Linked DNA regions of Macaca mulatta. The protein of the gene in region 3 interacts with the protein of the main gene of each other region in a biochemical or structural test. Links are inferred from orthologs where the notes say so. Each region holds a gene or a part of one and is shown on either strand. Other genes may lie near its edges.

The links.
Region 1: the proteins of CREBBP (region 3) and SREBF1 form a complex in vitro, tested with the Homo sapiens proteins (5 studies listed by BioGRID, with this or other methods). The link is inferred for Macaca mulatta from reciprocal best matches to the Homo sapiens genes CREBBP and SREBF1.
Region 2: the proteins of CREBBP (region 3) and HOXB7 form a complex in vitro, tested with the Homo sapiens proteins (2 studies listed by BioGRID). The link is inferred for Macaca mulatta from reciprocal best matches to the Homo sapiens genes CREBBP and HOXB7.

Annotation. Positions count from the first base shown.
Region 1 is NC_133421.1:19,395,348-19,399,584, forward strand, and holds the start of SREBF1 (sterol regulatory element-binding protein 1), read right to left. Parts: upstream 2,801-4,237; 5' UTR 2,632-2,800; coding exon 2,541-2,631; intron 1-2,540.
Region 2 is NC_133421.1:61,398,642-61,402,629, forward strand, and holds the start of HOXB7 (homeobox protein Hox-B7), read left to right. Parts: upstream 1-1,188; 5' UTR 1,189-1,763; coding exon 1,764-2,163; intron 2,164-3,988. Other genes in the region: uncharacterized protein LOC114673140, read left to right, coding at 1,077-1,188. UniProt on the Homo sapiens protein: Sequence-specific transcription factor which is part of a developmental regulatory system that provides cells with specific positional identities on the anterior-posterior axis.
Region 3 is NC_133425.1:5,100,799-5,105,010, reverse strand, and holds the start of CREBBP (CREB-binding protein), read left to right. Parts: upstream 1-1,412; 5' UTR 1,413-1,493; coding exon 1,494-1,578; intron 1,579-4,212. UniProt on the Homo sapiens protein: Acetylates histones, giving a specific tag for transcriptional activation. Mediates acetylation of histone H3 at 'Lys-18' and 'Lys-27' (H3K18ac and H3K27ac, respectively).

The DNA.
Region 1 (4,237 bases), on a different chromosome or scaffold from region 3:
ACACGACTGTAATCCCGGCTACCTGGGAGCTGGAGAATCTCTTGGACCTGGGAGGCAGAGGTTGCAGTGAGCTGAGATCATGCCACTGCACTCCAGCCTGGGCAAAAGAGTGAGACCCTGTCTCCAAAAAAAAAAAAAAAGTCTATGAAGAGTGTGCAGCCATTCCCCAAACACACACACACACACAGACAGAGAGAGAGAGAGAAAAAAAAAGAGAAGAAAAGCTCTTTCACATAATTAGCAGAGCTTATCTCTGGGTGGTAGGTTTAAAGTTTTTTTTTTTTTTGAGACAGAATCTCACTCTGTCACCCAGGCTGAGTGCAATGGCACGGTTATAGCTCACTGCAGCCTCTAAATCCAGGCTCAAGCAATCCTCCCACTTCAGCCTCCAGAGTAGCTGAGACTATAGGCACGTGTCACCCACACCCAGCTAATTTTTTATTTTTGTAGAGACAGGATTTTGTCATGTTGCCCAGACTGGTCTCAAACTCCCGCACACAAGTCATCCTCTTGCCTCGACTTCCCAAAGTGCTGGGATTATAGGCATGAGCCACCACCCCGGTCTAAAGATTTTATTTTCTTCTTTTTGCTCACTTGTGCTTTCTAATTTTTCTACACTGAAAAAAAGATGTGTAATTGGGAAGAAAAACAGGAAGTTTGAATAAAAACTGAAAAATCCTCTACTGAAGTGGGTAAAGCTGAGGCTTGCCTAGTGAGAAGGGGCTGCCCCCACTCTCTCATAGACTAGACCTTGGGCCACATGGCTGCCCATGCCTGGCCTTTGGGTCTGGAGAGGCAGTGTTTTTATTCATGAGTCAGTAAGAAAGGTCTGTTTCAGACCTGTGGCCCAGACCCGATTCTGTTGTCCAACTTGCCCATGAAGGGAGGGTTTGCATCCTCATTTTTCTGGAGGTGGAAACTAAGGTTCAGAGGGTGAGAGGGCTTGAGCAGGATGATAAAGGAAATGAGGAGTGTCCAGGTTCAACCTCTGACCCCAAAGCCCACGTCCTCCTGGCTTGGTCACGTTGCCTCTTGGACTACACTCACTGGGCCCAGGGATGTGGAACTGGTAGTTAAGCCCAGATCTCCCTAGGGCTTGGGATTTCAGGGTTCATCACTCCAGAGGGCAGTGAAGGACAACCCCTCATGCCAGGGATAGGGGAGGCTGTTTTGGAAAAGCCTCACAATCAGGGCCTCTCCTCTGGGGTCCTCCCCTAGCCCAGCCCCAGTGGGAAGGGCTGGGAAGCTCCTGGGGCAGGCAACCAGCTGGGTGATCTGCAAGGCTGCAGTAGGGCAGGAGTGGGGGTGGCATAGATGTATCTATTTTGCCAACCCCAGGGTGGCCACGGGTTCCATGGACATGTCCATTCAGGCTGTGAGTCTAGGCATCTTGTTCCTGCGACTTTGGCCTCAGTTTCCTCATCAACCAAGTGCAACTTAGCCAGTGTTGTTAAAACTCCTGCACAGAAACCATGGAGGCAGTTTGCTAGGGGCTTCCTTTTGCTCTGTCTACAAAATGGAAGCAACGGGCCTCCCAATTGGCACTTGGTGCCACCGTTGGCCCCTTCTCATCACAGCCAGAGTGGCTCTCCAAAGATGGAAGCCGGTGCCACTGTCCTGCTCCGCCCTTTCCCTGGCCGACCAAGTCGGTTCGCGTCCTCCTCCTCCCTGACCTCACTCCCTTGCAAGCCTCTAACTCCTCACACTTACGCCCTGCCTCGAGGCCTTTGCCCTTCCCTTGCCGTGGCCTGGAAAACATCTTTCCCTGCTGGTCCTGGGGGTGACCCTCAGGTCTCAGCCTAGAAGTCCTTCACTGCTCTGCCCAAAGTAGCCACATCCCTGCCCTGCCCTCCCCGCCAGCCTCGCTCCACCCAAGGTGCAACTAAATACCCGTTTGGTTTCCTGGGGGATTTTTGTGTTCCCGAAAGAGGGGGTGCCCAGGTCTGTCTGTGCCTAAGACGGGGCCTGGCATTCAGTGGATGTCAGTGAATGGGTGCGGAGGCGATTCCCGTCGCAGACCTGGTGAACCCCACCAGAGGCGGGGGAAGGGCGCGAGGCAGCGCCAGTGCGCATGCGTAAGAGCTCCGACGCTGAGCTGAACTCTCGGGCCGGAGGGAATGACCGTGAGTAACCTCGCAATTACGTCACGGCTGGGGCTGGGGCGGAGCTTCGGCGACGCCCGGGTCCCCAGCTCCAGCCGTGGCCACCACAGGGCTGAAGAGTCACCGGTCGGGCGGCACCCGGCCTGGGACGCGTAGGGGCGCACGTGTCCCGGCCCGGAGTCGCCAAGGGACCCCGGCCCGGCCCAAGAGCCCTCACCTCCGAGCGCGCGGCCCGAGACGCTAGGGCGGGAACCAGGGAGGCTCGGCTAGGCCCGGGACACCGAGGCGCACGGCACGCAGCTCAGAGACGCCGGGAAGTCCAGCGCGAGCACAGCACGGAGCTGGCGCCCGCGGGGGAGACAAAGGACAGGGAGGCACCTGCGCGCCCCCCACTCGCGTCACCCGGCGCGGCTTCGAGCCCTGCCCGCCCTGACGCACCTTCGATGTCGGTCAGCAGCGCCGCGTCCAGATCGCACGGCCCGCCCAGCGCCTGCTCCAAAGCCGCCTCGCTGAAGGGCGGCTCGTCCATGGCGCAGCCGCCTCCTCCGGGAGGCCCGCCGGGCCCGCCGCCTCGTACGGTCCTTCCCAGGGAGCGCCGCCGCGGCCCCGGCTCGCAGTTGCCGCCGCCGCTCCGCGCGTTTGTGTCCTGCCCTGGCCTCGGAGGCGGCCCGGCGCCCGCGAAAAGTTCCACGGAAACTGGGTTCCCCCTGCTGCGGCTCCGCTGGGCGGTCGAGGCGGAGGCGGGGCCTTTCGGGAAAGCCCCGCCCTCCCAGATAGACGGCCCCGCCCCACCTTGAAAGAAGCGGGGGACCCCTGATCCCCGGTCTGCGCCACAAATCTCCCCTCAGCCGGCCCCTCCTCCAGAGCGCCCTCCAGTCATTCATTTTATCCAGCCTCGCGCACAATGGCAGCGGCTTCTGGCCGGCTGCTGCAGGAACGCGGGCAAGCCAAGCCCCCTCTCTGGTCCTCTGTTTCTCCAGCACCAAGCAAGAGAGCTGAGTGGAAGCCCCAGGCCTGGGCCCATCCCAAACCTCATTTCCTCACTTCCTAGATTTGACTCTTTACCACAGGACAGGGCAGGATCCAAGTTATAGGGGTCTCAGGCCTGCTGTGTTGTGAGCAGGCCTGATGTAACTGCTGGGCCAGTTACATCACTCTGCCTCAATTTTCCTCATTTGTAACATTGGCCTAATGATGCTTCCTCACGGGTTGGCTGGGAGGCTAGTGACAATGTGGAGGGGAGCATGACCTGTGAGATCAGCCTGCCCCCTCTCTGCAAAAAAACCAGAAGATTGGCCTCTTGAGGACAGCAGTGGCCAAAGAAAGAGGCTGGAATTTCCTATCGTCTTCATTTGGTTTCCTCCCAGATCCAGCTGTAGGGATAGGATACCAGTGGGCCCAGTGCAGCTCCTGAAGGAGGAAGCCAGTACCCAAGGAAGACTGGCCCCAGGACTGTCTGACCCCAGATTTGGTACTTGTTCCCGGGAGCAGTCAGGATAGGGGCCACAAGGAAGAGGTGGCTGTGCTTTAGATCAGAGCCAGGCTGCCCTGGATCATGACAAACTGGGACTAGGTCAGAGCAGGCAGCCCTGTTGAGAAGAGGGCTGGAAACCAAACCTGGTTCTGTGGCCTAGGGACAGAGCCAGGTTGGGGCAGGAAGGAGGGATGGGGTCCCAATGAGGTGGGTTGAAATAAACCGGAATTAACATTCAGGTATCTGAATGTGATAAGGCAGTGAGCTCCCTGTCCCCAGAGGTATGCAAGCAGAGAGAAGCACCCTTGGTGGAGGCCAGCCCAGGAAACTCATCAGGGGCCTGGGCCTCAGGCCTTCCTGACCCCAGACCTTCATGAGTCAAGCCATCCTGCGGACGGCCTTGCTCAGACTCCAGATATAGCCTGTCTGACCACGCCCTAAGCAGGAGTAAAATTCATGATGCATTTTAGAAGGGGTGTGTGGGGGAGAGAAGCCACAGAGCCCAAGTCCCTGGGGCTCAGCCTGGACATCCAGCTCCCTTTGTTCCTCTCCCAGAAGTGGCTGCAGTGGAAAATTACCCAGAATAGGGGAGCCAGAAGTCATAGGGGTCACCAAACCACATCTCCCCAAGTAGCTCTGCTCAAGGGTCCACCCAGGACCC
Region 2 (3,988 bases), on a different chromosome or scaffold from region 3:
ATTTCCCCTCCCAATCCTCTCTCCTCGCTGCACCCCCCAGCTCGCTGGCTTTCTCTCTGGCTTCTCTCTTTTCCTCTCCACCCACCCCCTTTGGTTTGACAATTTTGTCTTAAGTGTTTCTCAAAAGAGGTTACTTTAGTTAGCATGCGCGCTGTGGGCAATTGTTACAAGTGTTCTTAGGTTTACTGTGAAGAGAATGTATCCTGTATCCGTGAATTGCTTTATGGGGGGGAGGGAGGGCTAATTATATATTTTGTTGTTCCTCTATACTTTGTTCTGTTGTCTGCGCCTGAAAAGGGCGGAAGAGTTACAATAAAGTTTACAAGCGAGAAACCGAGACTGGCCCGGCCAGAGCTCCTCATTTGCTCCCGGGTGCCTTGCAGAACCTGTGGGGAGCCTGTCACAGGGCTCCTGCGCCTGCTGAGGCTAGGCCGCAGAGAGGAGGGGGCGGGGGCTGGAGGCAGGTGGTGCGAGTCCTTCGGCCCAGGGGCGCTGGGGGTGAAGGAGGCGGCTGCGCCTGATTGGAGGAGAGAAAAACGAGGGAGGGGAGCCAAGAGAAACCCCCTCCTCTCGCGTTCCGAGGCTGCCCTGCCCGGGAGACCAGGGCGCCCAGGCCACGCTGGAGACATGCGGCTGGGCTGGTGGCTGTGTCCCCCGCCACCTCCCTCTTTGTTTTGCTGTGTGTCCTCCCGAGTGTGTGTGTTTCGGGGGTGGGGGGGGAGGTGGGGGGGTGGCAGGCATAAAGGAGGAGTGCAGGCCTGCTGAGCATACTTTTTTTTCCTCTTGGACTCTTGTTGTTGGGGGAGCAGAAGAAGGGAGACCGCTCTTCCCTGCCTCTTCCTCTCTGGGACTTGGCCACCTTCTCTCTGTTCTGAGGCCATGGCTGGCTGCCTTCCTTCCTTGGCTGCCTCTGCTTCTCTGGTAGTCACGCTCCACTGAGGCATCCGCCTCCGGGAACCGGGAGAGCAGCGCGCCCGGACTACCCTCCACCCTTCCTTTCTCTCCCCACCCACCCAACCCCTTTCTTTCTTTTACTTTCAAACCTTTTTATTTATTTATTTATTTTTTGCCACCAGAAACCGCAGCGTTCAAGGCCGGTGGACTGGATCCTGTGCCCTAGGAGCACCTAGGAAGCCTTGCTCCATCTCCGCCCGCATATCTGGGGCACCAAGAGAGACAGAGCCGTGAGCCAGGCTCGCCTCATTCCTCGTCTTGGGAGAACCGGACCAACTTCCCCAAAAGGCCTTGCCGTGCACAATTGGCCCGGATTAATAAAGAACAGACCTGCCCCAAGCACCCACCCACCCAGTTGCATGCATTCAATCCCTGCATTTGTCTCTCGCTGGGTAACGGGCTGAAGAGGATGGGTGGGGGGGGTGACAATACGGATCGCCCCGAGGTTATTTTCCCTTCCACTCAATCTCTTCCTCCCCAAATCTCGCCTGCAAGCTGCCTCCAGCCCGCGGGAGTCGGCAGCGGCCCTTGAGCCCCTAGCCCCAATCCACAGGGTTCGGCTATCCCATTCATTATTGATCATATTTTATAAATCCAACGCCACACAATTTTTCCGTATTACCGGGAGCCGTGGGGAGGCGGCCCGGCCATTGGCGGAGGGGACGTCACGTGGGCGGGGGTCACGTGGTCCGGAGAGGAAAAAGGGGGTCCTTTTTGGTGTAAATCTGGACTCTAATTCTGTAATATATCAAGGAATCTCGTAAAACCGACACTAAAACGTCCCTGCCTACAAATCATCCGGCCAAATTATGAGTTCATTGTATTATGCGAATGCTTTATTTTCTAAATATCCAGCCTCAAGTTCGGTTTTCGCTACCGGAGCCTTCCCCGAACAAACTTCTTGTGCGTTTGCTTCCAACCCCCAGCGCCCGGGCTATGGAGCGGGTTCGGGCGCTTCCTTCGCCGCCTCGATGCAGGGCTTGTACCCCGGCGGGGGGGGCATGGCGGGCCAGAGCGCGGCCGGCGTCTACGCGGCCGGCTACGGGCTCGAGCCGAGTTCCTTCAACATGCACTGCGCGCCCTTTGAGCAGAACCTCTCCGGGGTGTGTCCCGGCGACTCCGCCAAGGCGGCGGGCGCCAAGGAGCAGAGGGACTCGGACTTGGCGGCCGAGAGTAACTTCCGGATCTACCCCTGGATGCGAAGCTCAGGTAACGCCGCGCACCGAGCTGTCCCGAGCCCCAGGGGCCGGGGCACATTACCCGGAAGGCGCCCCCTTCCCGGCAGGGCGCCCCTTTCCGCGTCCAGAGTGCTCTCCAGCCGGAGGTCGGCCTGGAAGGCTGCACCCACTGGGCCGCGACCCAGCAGGCCGTCCCCGCCCCCATATTTGCTCGGTGCTCTCAGGCTTGCTCTGCTTCCCGGCGGATCTCTCTTCGCCGACACCACGGCGCTGCGAGCCCCCAGCCCGCCCCCACCCTTCCTCTCGGCCTTTTAGCTTTAAATATTTATCAGCAGCGCCGGCACGGGCTAGAGACGAGGCCGTTTGTCTTGCGGAGGAAGGCCGGTGTTTGCAGAGAATAGCTATTAGGGTCTCCCCCCTTCTCCCCCCTTCCCAGCTAAGGATCTCAGCCCTGGGTGTGTCCCACTGCCCCAGCTCGGATAAGGTATGGGGGAGGGGGCCATAGCGCTAAGCAATTCTCCCCTCCCCCTTCCTTTCCAGCCAACCCCGCTCCCCGATTATTCCCATCAGGACAATTAGAGGTGGGCTCTAGAGGCCTGGCGGGAGGAGAAAAGGACCCAGCCAGGGACACAGAGCTAGAGAGGCAGGTGGAGGGAGGGGGCTGAGGCCGAGGGAGATGAGCCTCCTGATCCCAGTGAACTTGGGTGGGGGAGTGGAACAGGAGAGCTAGAAAGGGGCAGAGGCTTCATGGGAGTGCAGCTGGTTTCCTCAGGTGCTCTTCCTAGGGCTCCTAGGAACCCCTAAAGAACTGGCCAAGTTTGGAGGTGTCAATCCAGATAAGTGGCTCTCTTCTTGGGGAAGGGGCTAGGACTCCCTGGAGCCAAATAAAAACTTAGGGAGTGCAGTTCACCCAGCCAGCTGCTACAGGAACCCCAAGAGGCTGAGGTTCCATGGAGTCCCTGCCAAGTCTGACCCAGACATCCTTTTCTGCACTGTTTCAAAGCAGATGAACGTGGGAACTAGCCCCAAAGTCCAGAAGACCCAAGACTCATGGTCAGAGGCACACAACCCAGTGATGATCAGGGGCCAGAAGGAGCCCAGCTCTCACACCATCAGTATTGGTGGTTATAGACCCCTTTACCTGCTCCATAGTTTAACTGCCTTTCCAGTTGATTTATCAAAGCCCCACTTTTTCTTCTCATAAGCATTTCAGCTTGGCTTTTATCTGACTTGAAACTAGGGCCCCTAGCCCCTCCTCCCCTGACTCCTTCCCAGGAGGGCTGACATCAGCACCTCTTTCAGTCTCCTCAGGGTTCTGGGCCTAAGGCAGAAGTTCCCCTCTACCCTTCAGCCCCACCACCCAGATACTCCATGTTCCATCCTATCCCAGGCTACTGTCTCTCCTCTTCCCCTGTGCCTTCCTGGAGGCCCAAAGATTGCTTTAAAGAGCTGGGCTGTCTAGGCAAGCAGGCAAGCAGGACAGCCTGGCCCTGGCTGAAGCTTAGCCACTCACTGGAAAAGAATCATCAGAGGGTCACTGCTGTCAGACCAACTGTTTGCTCCAAGGAAATCTACAAATTCTTACCTTCTCATTCCACAACATGCTGGGGATGAGTTGGGGAGACTGGGCCTTTGGGGCCCCTTTGTCTCCTTTTCTTCTTGGGAAATGCTCTCAAGCCAGGCCTGGCACCCCACTCCAGGGTCACTTGCATGGTTTCTGTTGGTCTCTACTTGAAAGACCATCAGATCAGCATTCAAAAGAGGGGGTTTAGGGTCCTTGATCCCAGAGAGTGAAAGGAGATTTAACCTCCCCTCATCCCACTTGCACCCCTTAGGGGCAGAGCTGTTTAAGAGCC
Region 3 (4,212 bases):
AGTGTCACCAGGTGGGGCGGGACCCGAATCCCGGCCCTGCCACTTGCTGCCTCGACGACTTTGGAGAAGTTGTTCTCCCCCCTCCTGCCTCAGTTTCCCCATCCGCCCACCTCGTCGGCAGACCTGAAGGCGGTTTGTAACCTGCAGGGCCATTCCACTTCCCTGGCCGGCGGCGAAGGCTAGTGGTGCGGCTTGGGCTGGGGTCGCCCCGATCGTCCCCGCCCGACGCCACCGAGGAGGGTATCGGGCAGGGACGCGAGGAGCTGGGAACACGCAGCGCCGCCCCAGCCGGACGGGCGGGCCCGGGCTGGCGTCGAATCCGCGCCGGAGAGCCCAGCCCGTGGCCAGGCCGCTGCTCCCGGAGCCCGCTGGGGCCCGGAGCCCCGGCCCTCGCCGCCTCGTCGCCATCAGAACAAAAGCCGCGGCTCAGCCCGGAGCCCGGGCGCCCCGCAGGCCTGGCCCGCGCCCGGCAGCCCGCCGCCCTGCGCTTCGCGGCCGCGCCTTCGGGCCTTCGGCCCTTCGGCCCGAGCACGCTCGGCTCTTTCCGCCACGGCCGGCGCAGGTGGAGGGGGCGGGGCGGGGGCCGTGCGTGGTGACGCCGCGGGGGGGGTGACGCACCGGCGTGCCCCGCCCCCACCCCCTCCCCGTTCAGGCTCTGGAAAGAGAAGAAAAAAAACTTTCTTTTTTTTTTAATTGAGGAATCAACAGCCGCCATCTTGTCGCGGACCCGACCGGGGCTTCGAGCGCGATCTACTCGGCCCCGCCGGTCCCGGGCCCCACAACCGCCCGCGCACCCCGCTCCGCCCGGCCGGCCCGCTCCGCCCGGCCCTCGGCGCCCGCCCCGGCGGCCCCGCTCGCCTCTCGGCTCGGCCTCCCGGAGCCCGGCGGCGGCGGCGGCGGCAGCGGCGGCGGCGGCGGCGGCGGCGGAACGGGGGGTGGGGGGGCCGCGGCGGCGGCGGCGACCCCGCTCGGCGCATTGTTTTTCCTCACGGCGGCGGCGGGCCGCGGGCGGGGAGCGGAGCCCGGAGCCCCCTCGTCGTCGGGCCGCGAGCGAATTCATTAAGTGGGGCGCGGGGGGGGAGCGAGGCGGCGGCGGCGGCGGCACCATGTTCCCGGGGACTGCCTGAGCCGCCCGGCCGGGCGCCGTCGCTGCCAGCCGGGCCCGGGGGGGCGGCCGGGCCGCCGGGGCGCCCCCGCCGCGGAGTGTCGCGCTCGGGAGGCGGGCAGGGGATGAGGGGGCCGCGGCCGGCGGCGGCGGCGGCGGCGGCGGCCGGGGGCGGGCGGTGAGCGCTGCGGGGCGCTGTTGCTGTGGCTGAGATTTGGCCGCCGCCTCCCCCACCCGGCCTGCGCCCTCCCTCTCCTTCGGCGCCCGCCCGCCCGCTCGCGGCCGCGCTCGCTGCTCTCCCTCGCAGCCGGCAGGGCCCCCGACCCCCGTCCGGGCCTTCGCCGGCCCGGCCGTCCGCTCCCGGGGCTGTTTTCGCGAGCAGGTGAAAATGGCCGAGAACTTGCTGGACGGACCGCCCAACCCCAAACGAGCCAAACTCAGCTCGCCCGGCTTCTCGGCGAATGACAGCACAGGTGAGGAGGGGTCCGGGGCGGCGGGGGCCCGGGGCGCGCTGTCACCCCCACCTGAAAGAGAGTGTCCGGGGGTGGTGGTCGCGGATACCTACCGAGCCGGGAGCCCGGAGCAGGCCCCGCAGCCCGTTCCCTTCGCCCCGCGCCGGAGGGTGGAAGTTCGTCGCAGGACTGTCACTGGGCCCGAGTTGGGCAGCACACGCCCGGTGCACTCGGCCTCCCCGCACCCGATCAGCCCTCCTCGCGGGGACCCGAGTGGCACTCCAGGAGGGAAGAAGTAAAGTGCAGTGTGTGGGTTTGTTTGGTAATGTCCTACGCATCCATCCGCGGCCGTGTCCACACGCGTGGCCGTCCAGAGGAATGACAGCGGAGGGTACCTTTGATGCTTAGAGAAAGCAAGATCGCGGCCAAAGGTAGCGCAGTGTATTTTCTGGATTGGCGACACATTGATCAGGCTGCAGTCAGAGGATACTCACAGCAGCCGCCAGCTTGCGAGTTAGAACCGAAGTTTCTTGGAATGAGTGAGTTCCTTGGAAAGATGCTTAGTGCTTATTTTCAAAACTCTTTGTTTTTTTTTTGTTGTTGTTGTTGTTGTTTTTAGTGAACTAGTCATTCCATTTTTCAAAATCCAAACTTCGTTAGCAAGATGTCATTAAAGTTGCTGTGGTGTGTTTCATTTCCATGTGTAACTTCAAAAGAAAGTTAAACAGCAGATTTAAGTTCATTTGGGCTGCCATCTCCATTTGAGTTTGTGTTGCTTTCACAGTGTAGATGTACAAAAAATTATGTTAAGGCATGTAGGAATTCCAATTTTTCAAAAAAATGTAGCAGGATACTGAATAAATTATCTTTTGTTTGTTTCCTCTCATTTAACAGCTTCCCTGGAAACTTTCTTAAGTAATCATTGCTGCTTAAGAGAAGTATTTAGTTTTCTATTCATTCAGTAATTCTGGGTCCTACTGCGCTGGTTCATGGTAACATGAACTAGTTGTATTTCCTCTTTTAGAGCTCTCTCCTTTGCAGCAGAAACTTCTGTGCCGCTGCGAACAATTCCGTCTCCAGCGCAGCTTGCATTTCTCCAGTAGTCTTGCAGTGGCAGCATCTGAAAATCAGTTTCTAATGAATGAGTCCAAATTGAATTACATTGCTGCCTTCAGATTTGCGCTAGACACAGCTGTTCAACTTGTGGAAATAGTTCTGTGACCGACCACTAGCATATTCAAAAAACTGCTATTGCTGTTGAAACAAAACTTGAATTTTGTGGCTTAAGTTTGAATACAATTCCTGGAATCAAGTTATGATAAGAGACATTTAATATTAATGTGGAAGTGAAAAACGATTTTTAAAAATCAATCATAAGGAGATTCTTATCTAGTTAAAATTTCTTAAACAGTGGGGAGGAGTAAATGATGCTCATGGTATGTAAAAATCACTAATAATGTTTTTCTTTTTAGCTGATAAAAGTTGAGTTTGACATTAATCTTATGAAATGAACTTACTGAAGTGAGAAATGTGGAAACAATAGTTTAAATGCCGTTGTACTGCAAAACAGATCTCAGTTGCTTCATTAATCTTGCTGTGTTTGAGTAGTCTTCAGTTCTGTGAGACGTAGGTCATACGAGGCGAGTTCAGCTTTGAAGCTTGTCTTCTGAAACTGGTAACCTGGATGGCTTTGTAGCTTTGCTATTGTTGAATGAATTTGTTGTAGATTTTGTCTTAAAAAGGGGGACAATCAGTAACACAAGACTTAACAAAAAGGCTTATCCTACTGTTTACATCCAGCTGTTTCCAAGATGGAGCCCGAAGGATAGCTTTTTCCATAGTAGTTTCCATTATTGGATGATCAGATGCTTAATAACAAGTTGATCAGAAAGGATTTTCCACACTTAACCAGCTTTTCCCTCTTCCTTTCCAGTTTTGATCCTTGTAAGGCACAGGGGCTCTTTTGTGGGACCAAAAGTCAGCTTTAAATGACTCTGATTTAATCCAAAGTAGAAAGTCGACATCATACTTAAGTTGGGTCCTGAGTTACACATTCATCACCATCACACTATTGTGAAAGGGTCTGTTAGTGTGGAGGACCAAGGAAGGGATCATTGTCAAGCACATTAAACAAGGGGCTGGATGCCATGGCTCATGCCTGTAATCCCAGCACTTTGGGAGGGGGAGGCTGGTGGATCAACTTGAAGTCAGGAGTTCGAGAGCAGCCTGGCCAACATGGTAAAACCCCATCTGTACTAAAAATACAAAAAAATAGCCAGGCATGGTGACATGCACCTGTAATTCCAGCTACTTGGGAGGCTGAGGCATGAGAATCGCTTGAACTTGGGAGGCAGAGGTTGTAGTGAGCCGAGATCGCACTGCTGCACTCCAGTCTGGGTGACTGAGTGAGACGCTGTCTCTAAAAAAAACAAGGGACACCTTGTCTGGTGTAACTACTAGTCTAAGAAATTGAGTAACGAGATGGACAGAGATCTTAGGGATGTATATTAAACAAATAAATGGCTTGAGTTTTTACATTAAATACATTCAAAGGACTGAAGGCATTTAGTTAGGTGGGACAGACCCGAGAATAACATTCTTGAGAGACTCAATCTTATTTTAGTGAGGGGATGTGTCTCTGAGGCTCCCAGGGGA